Macaca mulatta: one gene and its partners. The protein of the gene in region 4 interacts with the protein of the main gene of each other region in a pairwise test. Links are inferred from orthologs where the notes say so. Each region holds a gene or a part of one and is shown on either strand. Other genes may lie near its edges. The genes, in order: FHL5, DNAJA3, KIF20A and ATOSB.

Region 1 (4,925 bases), on a different chromosome or scaffold from region 4:
AAAGGGTAGGGGGAAGAAAGAGATAGCCAAAGGTAGGCTAAGAAATACAAAATACAGCTAGATAGGAGGAATAAGTTCGAGTGTTCTATAGCACTATAGGGTAACTATAATTAGCAATTTATTGTATATTTTCAAATAGCTATAAGAGTAGATTTTAAATATTTCCAACTCAAAGAAATGAAAAATAAAGTTATAAATTTGCTAATTACCCTGATGCGATAATTTGTTGTATACATGTATACAAACATCACATTGTACCCCATAGATATGTACAGTTATATGTCTATAGTAATAATAAAAGCAAAAAAGAAAAAAGAAGAAAATTCTTAGAAGTCATGTGACTTATGACATGTTACTTAAATTGTTTTATGAACAATTGTAAGAAATAATTAAACAGAATCAAACTGGAAAACAAGCCCCAGAAGCATATTTCTCCACTCCACTTCCACACCACCATCTTTAGAGGATTACAATTGCAATGAAATTGTAAAAATACAAAAAGGTATATTTTTAAATGTGAGGAGACAACCTGAATTTATCAAAATAATCTACTCAGGATCCATTTGGTAAATACTCCTTTGACAAAATGAATATGCAAAGGAATAGCTCAAAGCTTTGCTAAAAATCAAGTGAGATAAATTTAAGGTCCATTGGTGCTGGAAATGCAACCGAAGAATTTGAGAAGAAAAAAAATAAAAATGACTACTGTTATTATTATTCTAATATAAAATTCTGTAATACAGCTGTTTTAATTATATCTTTAAGGTAGGGAGGCAAACTCACCTGCTCTCATTCATAGAAAACTCAGTATGAATGACACTTCAAAACCTTGACTGTCTTCTCCACATCACACTATTGCTTTCAAACAGACTCTCTATCTTTATTTATTTAATGAATGTAAACCTTGCTGTTGACATACCCTAGTATGTTCTAATCAGGGTAATTAGCCCGTGTGAAAGTTTAGACATATAGTAAAGATAAGGTAAATCCAAACCCATAAGAATGCTTTACTAGTTCATATAAAATACTAGGGTATATCATCAATAAGCTTATTATTTATTTTTATTTTAAATAGAGTCTCCCTATGTTGCCCCAACTGGTCTTGAACCCCTGGGCTCTAGTGATCCCCACGACTTTGGCCTCCCAAAGCTAGGATTACAGAAGTGAGCCACCATGCCTGGCCTCAAGCTGATTATTTTGCAGGGATTTGAGGCATGTTGGGCAAAAAGGAGTCCTCCTTCTCCTCCTCTTCCTCTACCTCTTTCTTCTCTTCCTCTTCTTCAGTGAGCTTTCAAGGGTACCAAAAAGCAACCAAGAAAAATGATGGTAATTGGAGAGGAAAAAGATAATTACGAGAACAGGGAAATGCAAGCTGGTTTAACTAATATCTGATTCAGAGCTTCCCATGCGGACCCAAGTATTCAGCTTTCATTTCTAAAGAGATCATATCCCCTCAATTGAAAACATAAAAATAAAAACAAATTAAAGCGTCTCTAAATATTCTAAACTCTTATTTGTAATATTTTAGTAGAAAAGTACCCAGTCTTGTGTAATAAATACAAATTAATTCAGCTTTACTCAAAATGTTGGCAAGTGTAATGAAAATAAGAGGTAAATTTGTCAGTGAGGTGGTGTTATATTAAAACACAAATCTGCTACTCTTGCTTAGGTAGAACAGTCCCAGATTTGGCAACTAATGATAATGTGAGAATAAATAGAACAAGTGTAGAAAACAGACACCACAGTTTACCTTCCCCTTAAAGCAATTTGGATTATGGCTTTAAGCATATATCATAACACATATGTTAAGAAATATCTTGTATGATACATATGTTTGCAATACTTATGTTAAATTTTAATCCATATGCTTTGCTAATAAAAATGCTAGTATTTACACATGATGGTATTGTGGATACGAAATGAGGGCTAAAAGAGCTCAAGGATTTCCTTACATTTTATGTATAAGAGCTATGCATTTTGTTAATAATTCTTTTTAATTTCCAATTTTCTGAAGTCTGAAATGACAGCCGAGGAGCTACATTTGGTTTTCAAATGAATGATAGGTACCAAAGAGGATAGGACTAAAATAGTGAGAGAGAAAGCATTAACACATATGGCGTGTATGCTTTTTGCCTGAATAACACTACCTCTGTTTCAAGAAGTAGCACTTTAAATTGATAGAGTCTATTATATATTTCTGTGGGCTGGAAACACAGATATTTTAATTTAACCTTAGGAAACCTAAGATTATGAATTTTTGTATGCCCACTTCTGGAAAGTAGGCAGATTTTTCTTGAAAATAGCAGGAATCTCATTAACTCCTTTTACTTAAAACCTGTAAGTGACTTCAAAATGTGCTCTTGAAATATAAATCTAGTCATAAAATATGCTAAGTGATAATATTATTCATTCAAATAAACGAAGGCAAATAAAATCTCAAGAGCCCTCCTCTTCTTCCTCTTTTTACAACAATAAAGCTGTACCCTGCATTAAAACCATTAGAGAAACTCAAGAGACAATTCCAAGGAGTTATCTGGCACTATGTAACCTCCACACGCAAGTTATGAGAATGATAAATCTGAAAAGCTCAGCATATAAAATTTGATAATCTTTAGCTAAAATGGCCAAGAAACTTCAAAAGGCATACACTTTTGCCAAGCAAAATTTTTCTCTTAAGGAGTTACTGGAAAGTTTATAAAAATTTCTCATCCTTAAAAAAAAAAATTAGAGAAGTCGAAATACCACAAAACAAAACAAAGGAAACATTTGGGGGAAAGAACTCACTTTGTCTTAAAGCCGCTTCTTCCTGTAATTTAAACAATACAAAAGGAGAATATATGTTGATTATTTTTCCTCCAATCCATATGCGTGTTAACTCCCAAAGGAACAGAAAGTCACCAGCACCATCTGAAGATCCTTTCCAACTGCATGTAGCTTTTTCAACTTTGCGGGAGAAAACAGAAGGGTCCCTGCATTTCCTCCAAGTCTTACACCATGTGCATTACTCCTACTGGGCTGAAAAAGCACTACTTGTCAATTTTTACTTGAAACTATGAGTAACAAATTCTCTGCAGGACATCCTTAAAGGGAAATTCTGCCAGGATTAGCATTCGAAGTATCTGGCTAAGCTCCAAAAAGTTTAAAATACACAACGTTCACACAGACACATACACACTTGAGAAATTTCCACTAACTAGGCTAAATTAAGGGCATATTTATAAAAATAATGCTCTAAAAGCATGATGTATTTTCTGTTTCCTCAATCTGTTTTTGGCTTTGTTTTCTTTGTTTTCTGGTGGTGATCAGAACCTTTCTTTTAGGTTGGAAATGTCTGAACTGCTGAGCTTTTCTTTTGGACTGTCTGGAAAGAGATGAGGCCCCATGCTCTTACCTGCAAAGCTATTGGTACCTTGAGAGATGACCCCCTGGGTTGTGGCCTCTATCACTGCCTTCTTGGGAAATTGGGGAAATCTGAGACATAAGTTTGAGTAGAGTACTCAAGGTAGTTCCCTGCTCTCTGGACTTGCAGTGTAGGCCCAGCCTTTCCTGCTCTGCCTGCTTCCTGGTGAGCTGGCCACAATTGTGACATCACATCCATGGCTGTATGACTTCATAAAGCATAAACTCATTGGGTTTTTTGAAATCTTCGAAACACAAAAAGTAGACAGCGATGTCAAGAGTTGGATCTGAAGAAAGTTTTGGATATTAAACCAATCCACAATAAGTATTCTCAGAGGGGCACACTGATTCATAAAGCAAGTGACATTTTCTCTTAGAATCTCCATTTGAGGCCATTTCTTCAGTTTGGAAGGCAGGATGAGAGAAGAAATTCTGCCTTAATTCCAGACCAAACTTAAACTGTCCTTGTTCTAAGTGCTAAAGGAGTGAAATGTTAATATCTTCTAAGGTCAAACTCGGGTATATACAGTCAAAGAACTTGAGCTAGGGAAACGCAGAGCCAGTTAACTGTGTGTTTTGTTATTCACTTGACTTTACTGATTAAGACATTATGAAAATGAACATATGGTGATTAACAACAATAAATTTGGATTCAGCAAAAGGATATAAGTATATTTCATTAGTAATAGATTTTAATCCTTAGGACACCATTGCTAAGCAGGTACTAGCTGTATTTTCCTTGTTTTATGGGCAAGGAAAGCAGTCTTTGAGATGTAAACGTGCCTGGGACCATCACCCTCTTCATTTGTTCCCCTGCTTCCTGAGAGGGTAATCTACATTCACCAAGTCATTCCAAATCTACAACATTCTGAGTTTCCTTCTCCCTCCCAACTTATTACAATCTGTCTTTCACTTGAACCACTCCAAAAAAGCTTCATTAAGATCATATACAACCTTGATTAGCAACCCAAAGAGCATGGTCTTTAGTCTTACCGAAAAATTCTCATCTCTGGCCATGTCTATTTCTTTTTGAAATTATCTTTCCTTGGTTTTGCTATGTTACACTCTTCTGATTTTCTGTTTGCTCTTAGCATCTTTAGCCTTCTCTCTATTCACCTCAGTCTTCCCTAGAGCTTTATCCTCTGTTCATTATGCTTCTCTGAAGGTTCTCCATCATGTTCTTCATCGAAACAGTGAACAATTATACAACATGATTCCCAAATGTGTACTTTCATCTGATATCACTCTTCAAGGTTCCAGACCTGTATCCCACTATCTATTAGACAACCGTGTCTAGAAGTCCCCAGACATCTCAAACTCAACAGTCCCGAATAATCCTCTTTGTCTTCTCCCCATTCCAAACTTGTTAGTTTGCTGTATATCCTACTTCAGGGAATGGCACAATCATCCACTCCTTATGTTAGAGTATTCCCTTTCCTCATCTATTCTCCACCATCCCCATCATTGTCCACCTTCTGTAGGTTCTAGTTTGTTAAATGATCTTTCTCAAATTTATCCTCATCCCT
Region 2 (3,746 bases), on a different chromosome or scaffold from region 4:
CTGTTTAGCAAGAGAATCTGCCTTTCTCTTCCAAAGTCTTTCTCTAGACTTCTGCTTTGAAGCAATAGGACATGAATGAGACTCAGGGCGACTGGACCAGGAATAAGCCCAAGCTTTCACAAGAGACACAGTCTAGCTCCCCACTGCTGTGTCCCCAGGAGTTAGAATAGTGCCTGGTCCATACTGAGTGTCCACAGTAGTCAGGCAATCAATATTTCATTGATGAAAATACTGGGAAGTATCTGAGATGAGCAGAATGTCACTGCTGAGCCTCTGCTATCCGTCAGCTATTTCTCCACCTGACCCAGCGAATGGACTCACATCTCACCCTGCTCAGCCCGGAGCACCAGGGTGGACTGAACTGTGTATCAGGGCCCCTTCAGCCATGTCAGGCATAGAGCTCGGCTGGGAACCCAGAGTAGCCAAACTATAATATATAAAAATTTTGGCCAGGCATGGTGGCTCACAGCTGTAATCTCAGCACTTTGGGAGGCCAAGGCAGGTGGATCACCTGAGGTCAGGAGTTCAAGACCAGCCTGGCCAACACTGTGAAATCCCCATCTGTACTAAAAATACAAAAATTAGCCAGGCGTGGTGGCGTGCACCTGTAGTCCCAGCTACTCAGAAGACTGAGACAGGAGAGTCACTTGAACCCAGGAAGCAGAGGTTGCACCGAGCAGAGATGATACCACTTCACTCCGGTATGGGCGACAGAGTGAGACTCTTATGTCAAAAAAATAAAATAAAATTGAAGGTAAAAGATGCAAAGACTCTGAAAAGAATGTAGAGAAACAATCCAGTGAGGGTGACTGAAATGCAGGGACCCAGGGACACTGCCCAGCTCTCACAGCATGGGCTCCCAAGGAAAAAGTCACATCCAGATTCTAGAACATTCACTCACATGGGACTGTTGTGTCATGGCCAGCACCCTGCTCTGGAATCTGACTGAGGGTCAGCACTGTCGGCACCCCAGACCTGTCTGCCTCTATGTACTCTGGGTGGGCATGAGCACAGGATGAGGCCAGCCAAGTCTCCAGTAACTCCCATAAGCTACCTGCAGAGGCTGTCTGAATTCTTTCAAAGAAGAAATGACCACAATTTAGGTTTTAAATATCTTTTTGCAATAGATAATCTTATTTACATTAATACAGAATCATTTTACATTCCTAAATCAGACACTAATAGATGCTTTATTTTAGTGAATTATAAAGGAAAACAAAAAGGAAACTATTGAGAAATGTTTCTTCATTAACCTGTCTGACAACAGCCCAAGGATCCTGAAACACATGGAAACTGCGACATGCTACCAGCAGAGGCTGGGGAACGGGGGTTCTGCTCTGGCTGAATAGTGGGGAGCCTTTAACTGCTTAGCCTGTGCTTTCCTTTTCTGAATCAACATTTACACAGGAAAAAACAATGATTAGCACTGAATAATTTAAATACACTTCAGAAAATAGATGTCAACAGTGTAAGTGGGAGAACCAAGCCCCTGGCTAGCAACAGTGGCAGGGCTTCAGTTCCCAAGGCAGCTGAAATCTGGCCAGCACAGTGCTGCAGAGGGCTGTGGCTCAACAGACGGGCCGGAGCCCTCCATGCCTGGCTTACAACAACAGGACTCAATGGTCAGCGACAGGCGGCCATCCTGGATGGGGTGGGAGCAAGGACTGTCTATCCTGACAGGGATCACCACCACCCACACGGTCAGGAGCAGAACCCCCATGGACTCTCTGGGCCTCTATGTGCCTCCCAGGCCCTGAGTGTGCAGCTGCTTGGTACCCCGGGAATAAAGACTAACTGAGCAGAGCAGCTGACACCTCAGCAGGGCCCCTCATCAGGGGAGGACGGAGCTGGTGGGGCCTGGGGGGCCCCAGGCTCCCATGAAGACAACCTGTGAGAAAGAACTCATTCTGGAACCTCCCGGAGGTTTGCTGAGAAGGAAATAAATCACTTTGTAACTTGGTGCCACTTAAGCCTTCATTTCTAAGCTGTAAGCGTGGCCTTTAATTAAGATCTCCACAACATTCAATTCCAAATTAGAGTTTTAGCCCTACAAGAGTCTAACCATCTCCCTCTGCCTGAGCCAGGGGCCGTCACCTACCCATGGACAGGAAACTGCCACCAGCCTTCGGGGCTGCATCCTACTGTCCAGGCTGTCCACTGTGACCTTTCTGTGGAGAGAGGTGTTGTCCCGTGATTTTGCTGTTGTCAGGGCCGTCCAGAGGCTCTGCGGGGGGGAGCTCAGTGCTGCTGTTCTGGAATCCTCCCGTCTCCCAGGTGCCCTGGCCCTGGGAGGGGCTGCTGCTTCCTGGCCTAGTTTCCAGTGGATCTTTTTCCTGAGCCAAAGAGACAGGCAGTTACCTTATACTCAACATCTCAAGGGAACACACCCCGCTGGGGAGCATCTGTTAATCCCTGGAAAGCAGCTGTGCGAAGAGAGGGGCGAGAACCCCAGCCGCTGAGATGAGCGTAGTCAACAAAAGTGAGTCCCAAGATGACACGGCGAGCAAGCGCCATCCTGGAGCAGCCCCCAGGCTTGCACAGCCCTGCACTGTCTATGCAGGCGGGCAGCTTCCAAGCAGGCAGGACGTGAGGAGATCTGAGTTCTAGGCCTGGCTCTGCCTGACTCGCCCTTTGTGACCATGGGCAAGCTGAACCACCACTGTAGGGGGCTGTACAACAGCCCCCCCATTGCCACCTCCCCAGGAAGAGGACACAGCCAGAGGCTGGCCGCGGCAGCCCAGCCAGTCCTACACTACAGGTTGACTGCCACGTCATCTCTTCCCTAGGCTGAGAGGCCGGCTCCTAGTGGAGCGAGGTTTACCACACCTTGGACTGGCACCTGTTCCCACTCCTGGGGGTGGGGGCACAATATTAGTTAAAGTGGGAGAAAACCAGGATTAGTTCACAGAGGAAAACAAAGGGAAAGAAACCTCCAGGGTTTTCCTACCTCAGCTGGGATATCAGGAGGTAAACATTTTCTTAAGTTTGGAAAGGAATCCCTCCTCGTCCTCCCCAGCCTCACGCCTAGCCTTGCTTCCTGCGGAGCTATCCATGGAGCTGCCACCTGGGCACAAACAGCAGAAAGAACTGGCGTCAGGGGCCCGCACCTCCAAGGTCATATCCTCGGCCCCACCTACCCCCGCCTGGCCACCCAGGGGCCCACATTCAAGGAGCGGCCAAGCGCCACCTCAAGAAGAGTGGGGGCCACTCCTAAGATGGCACAGGATGCCTCACCTGGCAAATGACTGAGGTAACAGAGCACTCAGAGCCTGAAGGTCTCCCAACTGCTCTTTCAATCATGGACCCACAGCAGGGAAACAAGAAATAGAGACGGAGACGGACCATGACAGCTGTCTCTATCTGAGCAACAGTGACAAAAACACAGTCAAGTGCCAGGCACCTCCCAGGCCAGGCCACACACTTCCTTACAGGCAAATGAAAAAAACAAAAAAGGGAGGCACAGAGAGGTTGCAGGGTTTACCCAAGGCCCACAGAGCCAACAAGCGAGAGGGAGGACTGAGTGCGAGCCCACGCAGTCTGACTCCAAAGCCGAGACTCTCAACCACCACGCTGTTGGCTATAAGAAGGTGAATAATGACACCAAGAAAAACCCTACTTCTAGACCAAATGACCAGATTCCATGCTGCTGCTGTGTACAAAGACCCTGCAGAACAGCCCATGTCGGAGTCACGGCCACACACAATCCTCTGTCATAGGCACTTCATCTCATCCCTCACATCAGCAGT
Region 3 (4,862 bases), on a different chromosome or scaffold from region 4:
CTTTGGGAGGCTGAGGCCAGTGGATCACCTGAGGTCAGGAGTTCGAGACCAGCCTGGCCAACATGGCGAAACTCTGTCTCTACTAAAAACTAAAAAAATTAGCTGGGCGTGGCTGCACCACTGCATTCCAGCCTGGGCGAGAGAAGGAGACTGTCTCAAAAAAAAAAAAAAAAAAAAAAGGGAAGAAGAAAAAGTCTACTTACAGCTTAATATGATTAACTACAGAAATCTATCAATGTGAAAGAGTATCTAACAATTTCTAAGACCCAGAAAAGCTGACATCCTAGATAGCTTACCAATTTTGATCTCCACTTCTCATGACAGAAGATGCTAAACACAGCTTCTCTCGGATGGACCATGGCTCTGTGGGGCCAGTACTCAGCAGCTTGTGTTCTGGGAAACGAAAAAAAAAAAAGCCTTGGAAGCAACCACTGAGACTGTAGTGCTAAGCTCCAAAATCCCCAAAAAGGGGACTAAAAGCCTAATACAAAATATTCCAACTTGTTAGGACAAAGTGAGCTACTATCACCAAATCTTGATTTTCACCTCTCCAAGTGAAGTATCACCAGTGACCGTGGTACCAATTTGTTGCATGTGAATTATTAACATTTTATTTCTTAAAACGCCACGGCTTGAAGCTCCGCTTTATTAAAAAATTGGGAATGTCAGATTAGGCAGTTCTCCCTAAAAGCCCAGTTTTAAGAACACTGGACTTTATTCCAGTTTGAACTCATTCAGGGCTTATTTCCCAGGAACCCGAGCGGCCAGCCCCTCCTACAACCCCGCCTCCCTCTTAGCATAAACTTGTTTACTTCTCTCAGATCCTCTACTCCAAATGTCGGGCCTAAAAGACCTTTTCAGTCCACTAAAAGAAAAATGGCTGAAATCCCCGAGATGCAATTTCCTGAGTGGCAAGAAAAGCTCATGGTTAAAAGGCCCCACTTCCACTGCCTCACAAACGTCGAACAAAAAATGAATGGCTCTTTGAGGTGCCGGTTACTCCGTCTGGCTCATAACATCTTTTCGTCTGCACGCCCAAGTTTCTAGAGTGCTTTTACGGTTACCCCGAAGGGCTCCTAACACACTAGGATTCACTAAGCTCCTTCTCTCACACCTCCGCTCCCTCCCTGAGAAACAAGACCCCAGATTTCTGGGCCCCCAAACGTTGGTCTTCACGATGCTGTGGAGCGCAGGTCTCTGAAAACCCTGAGCTCTCAAGCAAACCACTTCTCCCACTCCCTAAGCGTGTAACAAAAATATGGTGCCTAGCCTCGGATCTACAAACGCCTTTCACGCAAAACCTGCTCAGATACTCACTGCCCGTTCCCGTCGCCATCTTGGCCCCGAAGTCTCCAACCCTGAGGAGAGACGGTCTGGTAGGGCCGAAACCCTGGAATTCTGGGAAGTAGAGTACCGGCGTTGGTTCGCGGTGCCTCCTGGGAAATGTCGTTTTTTCCCCTAAGACAAAGCAAGCACCCTAAACCAGTTATCTTGTGCAATCCTTTTAAGATTTTTGCTAAGGAAGGACAGGGGTTGGCGGCTGAAGCCTCAAGATTTCCTTTAGGGTTCTTAGGTAAGAAATGTCTAAGGTTCAAGAAAAAGGGTTAAGCTGGAAGAATCCCAAGCGAAATAACTCCTAACCCGCGACAGTTGGTAACCCGGACCCACATTAGATCTGAGAGGTCAAGCGGATGCAAACTACTGGAATTCCAGTCGGACCCGCCCCTTTTCCTTACGCGGATTGGTAGCTGCAGACTTCCCTATCTCATTGGCCGAACGAACGCAGCGCGTAATTTAAAATATTGTATCGGTAACAAAGCTGCACCTCGTGGGCGGAGTTGTGCTCTCCGGCTGCGAAAGTCCAGGTTCGGCGACTAGGTGTGAGTGAGCCGGTACCCGAGGAGGAGCAAGTGGCACGTCTTCGGGTGAGTGTGCGGCTGTGCTGGAGCCCGGGTTACCAGCTCTTGCCCACGCGGAATAGGCTTTAAGAAATCGGAACTGCAGCCATCTGTTTTTCTCTTAATGCTGCATCTCTGTTCTCACGGTGGTCCTTGAGGTTAGAAAAGGAGCCGAGGGATCCTGACACCACCTCCACAGCACCGGCGGGCGAGGTGCCCTACTTTAGGCCTGGCCTTTTGCTTTTGGAGCCAGATTTCTGTGGACTTCTGTTCGCTTTCAGAAATGCAACCTCAAACTTCTCTCGATTGTTCATTAAGTGAACTTCTCTCATTCCCTTCCCCTTTGCCGATAATTAGAGGGGAAAGGAAGTAGGGAGCGGGACCCGGTGTCCTGGGGCAAGGGACTTATTACCTAAAATTCGCGGCCCCTTCTGTCCCTAAAGGTTCTTCTCCCTGCCCACTTTTTGGTCTCTTTTTAGACCTAGGCTGCCCCTGCCGTCATGTCGCAAGGGATCCTTTCTCCGCCAGCGGGCTTGCTGTCCGATGACGATGTCGTAGTCTCTCCCATGTTTGAGTCCACAGCTGCAGATTTGGGGTCTGTGGTACGCAAGAACCTGCTGTCAGACTGCTCTGTCATCTCTACCTCCCTAGAGGACAAGCAGCAGGTAAAGGAACTGGGGAGTGGCTGGGGCAGAAAGTGACATCCTCAGGTCAATAGTTGTCCATACACGGTAGTATGAGGTCAAAGACTAGCAATCCTGAAGGTTTGAGAGATCAATTCAAAATTAGGGGCATGTAGGACAAAATGGCTACGAAAAGAAAAAAAAATTAAGGGCATGACAAGTAAAAAAAAAATTAAGAGTTGTGTGTCCAGAAGAACTATTATTTGCATTGCATTAATGAAATACCCTCAAGTGCATGCTCTCAGTTAATCAGGAAATAATAGTTATCTCTCTTTGCCTTGAGGCCCAGTTGTGCTAAATAATTTGCACAAGGTCATATAGGCATTATGTAAGTGGAATGTATGTTCAGGTTTTGATAGTATCACCATAGCTTCAATTTGTTGTAGCTTTCCTGCTAGGCCAGGGTTTCTCCATCACAGCATTGTTGACATTTGGGGCTAGACAGTTCTTGTAGGGATCTGTCCTGTATATTGTAAGATGTTTAACAGCATTCCTGACATCTACCCACTAGATGTCAGTAGTGCCTTCCCATTTGTGACAATCAAAAAATGTCTTCAGGCACTTCAGGCATTGCTTAAATGGCCTTTGGAGTGGAAATGACCCTGGTTGAGAAACACTGTACTAGGTCCTATGCTAAACATTAACATACATTGTCACATTTTGTGCTTTTATAGAGTTTCTCTTAGAGACTTAAAAAGTTCCATGACAGCATGGTCCTTGATAATGTCTCTCACTATGGACTATCAGAGCTTCTCAGTTCCTAGGGCATAGTAGGCACTCTAAATATCTGCGGGTTTTTTTGTTTTTTTGGGGTTTTTTGTTTGTTTGCTTGTTTGTTTGTTTTTGAGATGGAGTGTCGCTCTGTCGCCCAGGCTGGAGTGCAGTGGCACAATCTCTGCTCACTGCAACCTCCGCCTCCCCGGTTCAAGTAGTTCTCCCTCCCTCAGCCTCCTCAGTAGCTGGGATTACAGGCACCCCCCACCAAGCCCAGCTAATTTTTGTATTTTTAGTAGAGACGGGATTTTGCTGTGTTGGCCAGGCTGGTCTGGAATGCCTGACCTCAGGTGATCTCCCCCCCTCAGCCTCCCAAAGTGCTGGGATTACAGGCGTGAGCCACTGCGCCCGGCCTCTAAGTATCTGCTGAATTAATGACATGGGTGCTATTATTAACTCCATTCTACAGATGAGGAAATTGAGGCAAAGACTTTTAAGAACTCATAGTTCAAGGTCTCATAGTTACTAAGTGATGGAATTGGGACTCAAATTCAAGTGTGTTTGCCTCTGCTTTGCTTTAATATCACATACAAATTTTCATACCAGTCAATAAATTCTAACTCAGATCATTGGTGTGGCAAGCCAGGTTTGCAGGATAATGATGAGACAGGGAAGGGTGACAAAGTAGTAAAAATGTCCATGTGGGTTGGAATGATTGTGGAACCAAAGAGTAGCTGCACAGAGACATTTGAGGTGAAATGGGGTACTGTTATCATGGTTCCTAGAAACTACTGTTTGCCCATTTGCTGCTGAAATTAATCTGTGGTTCTGGGCTGGAATTCTGCCACAGGTTCCATCTGAGGACGGTACGGAGAAGGTGAAAGTATACTTGAGGGTTAGGCCCTTGTTACCTTCAGAGTTGGAGCGACAGGAAGATCAGGTAAGTGTCTGAGAAGGGAGGATTTAAGGTGAAATGATGCAGTACAAAAGATTCCCAGGAATGCCTTTTGTGACAACTGTATTTTCTCCCTTCTCAGGGTTGTGTCCATATTGACAATGTGGAGACCCTTGTTCTACAAGCACCCAAGGACTCTTTTGCCCTGAAGAGCAATGAGCGGGGAATTGGCCAAGCCACCCACAGGTTCACCTTTTCCCAGGTATGAAGGGTACTGGTTTGTGAACAAAGGACCAACATGTAAGGGCAACTTTATTCCCTCTTTAGAGGGAAAGCTTCTCTACCTGACTGTGAGTTCCTTGTATACGCACACCTACAATTTTGAGGGCCCTAGTTATGTGTTAGTCAATGTGTCAAGCAACATATGTATATCAATTCTGAAAAATTCTATTGCTATTATCATTATTTCCTTATTTTCCTCACAAGGATAGTGTGGCTCAATGAAAGTAATATTGCTGAAGCCATGTAGCTAGTCACTGGTAGAGTTAGGACCTGAGTCTAGATCCATGTATCTCCAAAGCCCACGCTTGTGGGCCATTATATTACCCCATTGTGTGTGCAGCATCAGGCCTAGGGCATAGCATTCCTTAAGTGTTTGTTGATTTGGTTGAA
Region 4 (4,839 bases):
CATTCCTAGACTTAGGAGACACAAGCAAGTAACAGTCCCTCTAAGCTCCCTTCTCTTTACCTCACCCTAGACCACCTTTTTCAAGAGGACTGACTTCCTTGCTGGTTCCCTAGTGTAAGGAACAGGATTAAGGAAATTTTCAATGCCCTTGTCAAAATTACAGTGTATCAATGTAAGAGCCTACTTGCCTTAATAAAAGCTTACTAGGAAAACAGAGACATAGAACACTGTAGGAAAAAAAATATCCCTTAGCAACCCCACCTTATCCTATCTTTCTGCCACTACCATAGGCCAGGCCTTAGTTACCTACAAAGGTCAGAGGACAATAGTTCAGGGTGAAGGATCAAAGATGTTCCAGGCCTCAATATACCCTGGGAAAGCAGCAGGGTACAACCAAGAGGCCTTACTACTGGACACGGTGGCTCATGCCTGTAATCCCAGCACTTTGGGAGGCCAAGGTGGGTAGATCACAAAGTCAGGAGTTCGAGACCAGCCTGACTAACATGGTGAAACCCCATGTCTACTAAAAATACAAAAATTAGCTGGGTGTGGTGGCGCGCAACTGTAATCCCAGCTACTCAGGAGGCTGAGGCAGGAGAATCGCTTGAACCCAGGAGGCGGAGGTTGCAGTGAGCTGAGATCATGCCACTGTACTCCAGCCTGGGCGACAGACTGAGACTGTCTCTCAAAAAAAAAAAAAAAAAAAGAGGCCTTACCTTCCTGCCCTAAATTTACCATGCTTTTTTTTTTTTTTTAATAGCAGTTATCACTACCTGACTTCTCCCTCCCCCTATATAATTTCTTTCTCCCCTTATTAGAATGGAAGCTCCATGAGAGCAGCAACTTTGTTTCATTTGTGCTCATATTCACAGAGCCAACATGAGTCCCTGGCAATGTTCAATAAACATTGACTGAAGAAAACAACAGGCCCTGGGCTGAGTGAACAGCAATCAGGCGATCTGGATCCTATCTAGCCCTTTCACTGTGACATCTGGGGAATCACAGTCTCTTTAGCCATAAATTTCCAAAACTGTAAAATAAGGGGTTTGTATAAACAATGACTGCTGAGGGCCTCTGCAGCTCTATAATTCTAATGACTGTTGTTCACTCATATCCATATCAGAGGATAGCTCCAGGCATTCGAACGCCCTGCTGCCTTGTACCAAAGCAGAAAGGCTATATCCTCCAGTCTCAGCACAGCAAACTGATGCCCTTTCTCTTCATGCCCCACCCACTCACACAAACCTCCCCAGTCCTGAGGAAGCTAGAGAGAGTCTGCCCTAGGCCCGCCCTCTCTGAGAGACTGTCTGGGAAGCAGTGTTGCCATAGCAATCAGCTCCTCCTCAAAAGGCTTCAGCCTGCCCTTTTTTACCCCACCCTACCCCAGGGCTTTGTCTGTCCTCAGCACAATCCCCCCCTCCCCAGCCAGTCTCTCAGCTCCTGGGTGGTTGTGTGAGGAGGCTGGCTTGGGGCCCCTTTTAGCAACACTGTCACACTCATTCAGCCACTGTGTGGAACTCAAGCCTTTCCCACCCTCTCCCAGCCAGCCTAGGGGCAAAAGGAACTCTAGCACTCCATCAAATCCCCTCAGGGAAGCAGAGGAGCCCTCAAGAGAACTAGGTCCTAGTCTCGGTTCTGATAGTGCTTCCAAGCCTGGAGTGTGGGGAGCTACTCCCTTTTCCTTCCCTGAGGCTGGAACCTCACAACCCTTACTGGGTTCAGCTTACAGTCATAGCCCACCTCTCAAAACAGATGGAAGATCCTCAATACTCCTCACCACTTCCCCCCTCCCACAGAAGCCCTAGTGTTCCCCACCCAGGGGAAGGACAAGGGTGGGGAAAATCAGTTTGTGTCAAGTGGTTAAATGTGGCTACCAGTCACTTGGGGGTCTATGTGAGAGACCTGGGTGGTAGTGGTGGGGGTGGGGTCTGAGCCCTGCTGCTGGTTACCATGGTCTCTGGTCATTGAGCACAAAGTCCCAGGCAGGGCATGGCTCCTAGATGGGCAAGGGCCAGGCCAGGCCCTGGGGCAAGGAAGGAAGTGGGAAATGAGCACACCCAGAGCGTAAGGGCAGGGCAGGGAGGGGGAGGGGGAGACAGAGACAAGGCTGGCTCTGGGAGGAACAGGAACTAGGATGGGGGGTTGACAGGAACCCAGTGGGGGAAGGGTCCCCCAGGACATCAGCTAGGGGAAGAAACCCCAGTCTCAGCTGGACAGATCCAAAAGAGACTGAGGAGACAGTCACACAAGCCCTGGTGACAAGCAGGGTCCGACTCCTCTCTGAGTGCTCAGGCCAGGAGGTGAAGTTAAAAGCTGAGCAGACAGGAGTGCAACAGATTGGCCTCTTCACCCAACTAACTCCATCACCCTTGCTCCTAGAACCCAGAACACAATATCTTCCTGGAGTTACTACAATGCCCTAAACTGTTACTTTCTCAAAGTACTGGGGGTTCTGTTCTCCCGCCTCAACTGGGGCCTACAACCCCTTCCCCTAGATAGTGCCCACAGACCCTCCGACACCGCTACACTCTGGACCACCAGCCCTTCTCCATTAAACAGTCCCCCTTCCGTCAAAGCGCCTCCAAGTCCCCTCCCCCTCATGTACCTCCTCCAACCCCCCACATCAGACAGCGACACAGTCCCCTCACGGTGTACCTCGCAACACCCCCCCACCCACAACAAAGCGCTCCTGCCCTTCCTCCATAGAGGCCCCTAGAGAATGCACCTTGTTGCCCACACATTGAGTCCCCAACTGCTCCCCCGACTCCGTGTCTTCCCTCAACATACAGCAGTCTCCAGATTGTCTGCAAAGCGCACCCCCATCCGCGTCCCTTCTTCCACGCTCACCCCGCCCCACACCTGTAGTTCCGTGGATCCCGTTGCACTCGGGTAGGTGGTAGTGGTTGGGGCAGTTACTGAGCAGTCCTATCTGTAGTCTCGGCCTGCAAACCTCGCCCCTTCGGTTCGAGCCCCGCCCCCGCAACGCCCAGGCCCACCGTCTCCCTTGTCCCACCTTCCACCTTCTCCGGACTTGTCCCTTTCCTCGTTTAATTTCTCGAGCTCCTCCCCTGTAGCCCGGGCCCCGCCCCCTTCTGTCCCCGCTCCTCTTTCGCGTTTTCTTTGCATTTCCCCAGGATCCTCAGCTTTTCCCAGGCCCCACCCGCGATCCCCGCCTTCTCTTGGTCTCTCCGCCTTTCACCGGGACCCGCCCCCTCGGATTCCAGCCTGGCAGAAGTCGCGCCAGGCCCCCTTCCACCACGATCCCCCTCCCATCTCAGAGCCTCTCCTCCTTCCGCCCCTTCTCCCTCACGCCTCACCCGGGCGGTCGCGATCCAACCAGGATCCGCTGGCTCTGATTGGCGGTGGCAGCCCCAATGGATGACGGAGGAGACAAAGTGATGGCCGCAGGTCGCCTGAGGTCCCACCCGGCCACGTGCGGCTTCTGTGATGACAGGTCTAGAGGGGCGGGGCTTCGGTCGACAGGCTGCTAGCCTGAGCGGAGCGGATCAGGGAAGGGTGGGAACCCGGAGCCAGGGCCAAAGCCACAAGCCTGAGGGCTCTGAGCCGGGTTGGGGCTCTCTCGCTGCTTTCGCGCCGGTGTGAGCTGCCTGCGAAACTCGAGCCTCTTTGTAGGGATGTCTGGGTTGGCGCGTGCATTTGCACTAATAGGGGAGGTCCGTAGGGTTTGCAAGGTAGTGCAAGGAATCTCAGGGGTCTGTGAAAATAAGGGAATCTGGGCGATGGGGTTCAGGTTTGCGAGGTTGAGCAGTTTCTGAAGCCTACGCTGTGCAGGCGGGTGTGGGTTCTGGGATGGACAGTAGGAGTCAGATCTGTACCTATTGAGGCACGTCAGCGAGGAGATCTGTGAATTTTACGAGATGAGTGTTGGTATGGAGTCAGATCTGTACCTATTGAGGCAGGTCAGCGAGGAGATCTGTGAATTTTACGAGATGAGTGTTAATATGGAGTTAGGATGGCCTGCAATTGCTGGAGAAAAGTGAGGCCTTTCCCTTGTACAGGTGTCGAATGAACTGCAGTACAGTTACATATGTTCTGCAATTTAAGTGGCGCTTGAGTCTCTTCTCTCCAGCCTCTCCCCATGAGATACAATAAGGGAGGGCGACGCTTTCCAGACACCGGTAGATGGCAGTACAGGACACTTGCAGAACTGAGAGAGCCCAGCTCAGCGCCAATCTGTGGCCTCTCTGAGGAGCAGACCGTTTGGGTCTGATTTGATCAAGTTCTCCAAAAGTCACATTCTTTTTTATTTGTTTTGAGACCGCGTCTCGCTCTTTCGCCCAAACTGGAGTGCAGTGGTGCGATCTCGGTCACTGCAGCCTCCGCCTACTGGGTTCAAGCAATTTTCCTGCCTCAGCCTTCGGAGTAGCTGGGATTACAGTCGTGCGCCACTAGGCTGGAATAATTTTCGTATTTTTGGTAGAGACAGGTTTCACCATGTTGGCCAGGCTGGTCTCAAACTCCTGATCTCAAGCGATCCACCCTCCTCGGTGCCCAAAGTGCTGGGATTACTGGCGTGAGCCACAGCACCCGCCAAATTACAGGCGCCTGTAATCCCAGCTACTCTGGCGGGGGCGGGGGCGGGGGCGGGGGCGGGGGCGGGGGCGGGGGCGGGGGGGGGGCCAAGGCAGGAGAATCGCTTGAATCCAGGAGGCAGAGGCTGCAGTGAGCTGAGATCGCACCATCGCACTCCAGCCTGGTGGACAAAGATTCTCAAGGCTCTGTGACTTTATGCCAGTAGTTAACTTAAACTGGTTTACTCAACGTCAATGGTGTGGAAGGCGCAAAAAAAAGAAAGAACAAAGTATTTTCTCTGCCCAT

Evidence for each region.
Region 1: the proteins of ATOSB (region 4) and FHL5 interact in binary tests that used the Homo sapiens proteins (3 or more experiments, as listed by UniProt). The two-hybrid records come from large-scale screens. The link is inferred for Macaca mulatta from reciprocal best matches to the Homo sapiens genes ATOSB and FHL5.
Region 2: the proteins of ATOSB (region 4) and DNAJA3 interact in binary tests that used the Homo sapiens proteins (3 or more experiments, as listed by UniProt). The link is inferred for Macaca mulatta from reciprocal best matches to the Homo sapiens genes ATOSB and DNAJA3.
Region 3: the proteins of ATOSB (region 4) and KIF20A interact in binary tests that used the Homo sapiens proteins (3 or more experiments, as listed by UniProt). The two-hybrid records come from large-scale screens. The link is inferred for Macaca mulatta from reciprocal best matches to the Homo sapiens genes ATOSB and KIF20A.

Annotation. Positions count from the first base shown.
Region 1 is NC_133409.1:89,326,991-89,331,915, forward strand, and holds the start of FHL5 (four and a half LIM domains protein 5), read right to left. Parts: upstream 3,013-4,925; 5' UTR 2,785-3,012; intron 1-2,784. UniProt on the Homo sapiens protein: May be involved in the regulation of spermatogenesis. Stimulates CREM transcriptional activity in a phosphorylation-independent manner.
Region 2 is NC_133425.1:5,706,529-5,710,274, reverse strand, and holds the end of DNAJA3 (dnaJ homolog subfamily A member 3, mitochondrial), read right to left. Parts: exon of another isoform or gene 3,065-3,746; coding exon 2,961-3,064; 3' UTR 2,948-2,960; exon of another isoform or gene 2,947-2,947; intron 2,334-2,946; coding exon of another isoform or gene 2,311-2,333; 3' UTR 1,099-2,310; downstream 1-1,098. UniProt on the Homo sapiens protein: Modulates apoptotic signal transduction or effector structures within the mitochondrial matrix. Affect cytochrome C release from the mitochondria and caspase 3 activation, but not caspase 8 activation.
Region 3 is NC_133411.1:147,034,424-147,039,285, forward strand, and holds the start of KIF20A (kinesin-like protein KIF20A), read left to right. Parts: upstream 1-1,753; 5' UTR 1,754-1,925; intron 1,926-2,377; 5' UTR 2,378-2,398; coding exon 2,399-2,563; intron 2,564-4,145; coding exon 4,146-4,235; intron 4,236-4,332; coding exon 4,333-4,452; intron 4,453-4,862. Other genes in the region: BRD8 (bromodomain-containing protein 8), read right to left, coding at 297-393, 1,318-1,336. UniProt on the Homo sapiens protein: Mitotic kinesin required for chromosome passenger complex (CPC)-mediated cytokinesis. Following phosphorylation by PLK1, involved in recruitment of PLK1 to the central spindle. Interacts with guanosine triphosphate (GTP)-bound forms of RAB6A and RAB6B.
Region 4 is NC_133420.1:64,608,847-64,613,685, reverse strand, and holds the start of ATOSB (atos homolog protein B), read right to left. Parts: upstream 3,420-4,839; 5' UTR 3,318-3,419; exon of another isoform or gene 2,726-3,317; intron 1-2,725. UniProt on the Homo sapiens protein: Transcription regulator that may syncronize transcriptional and translational programs.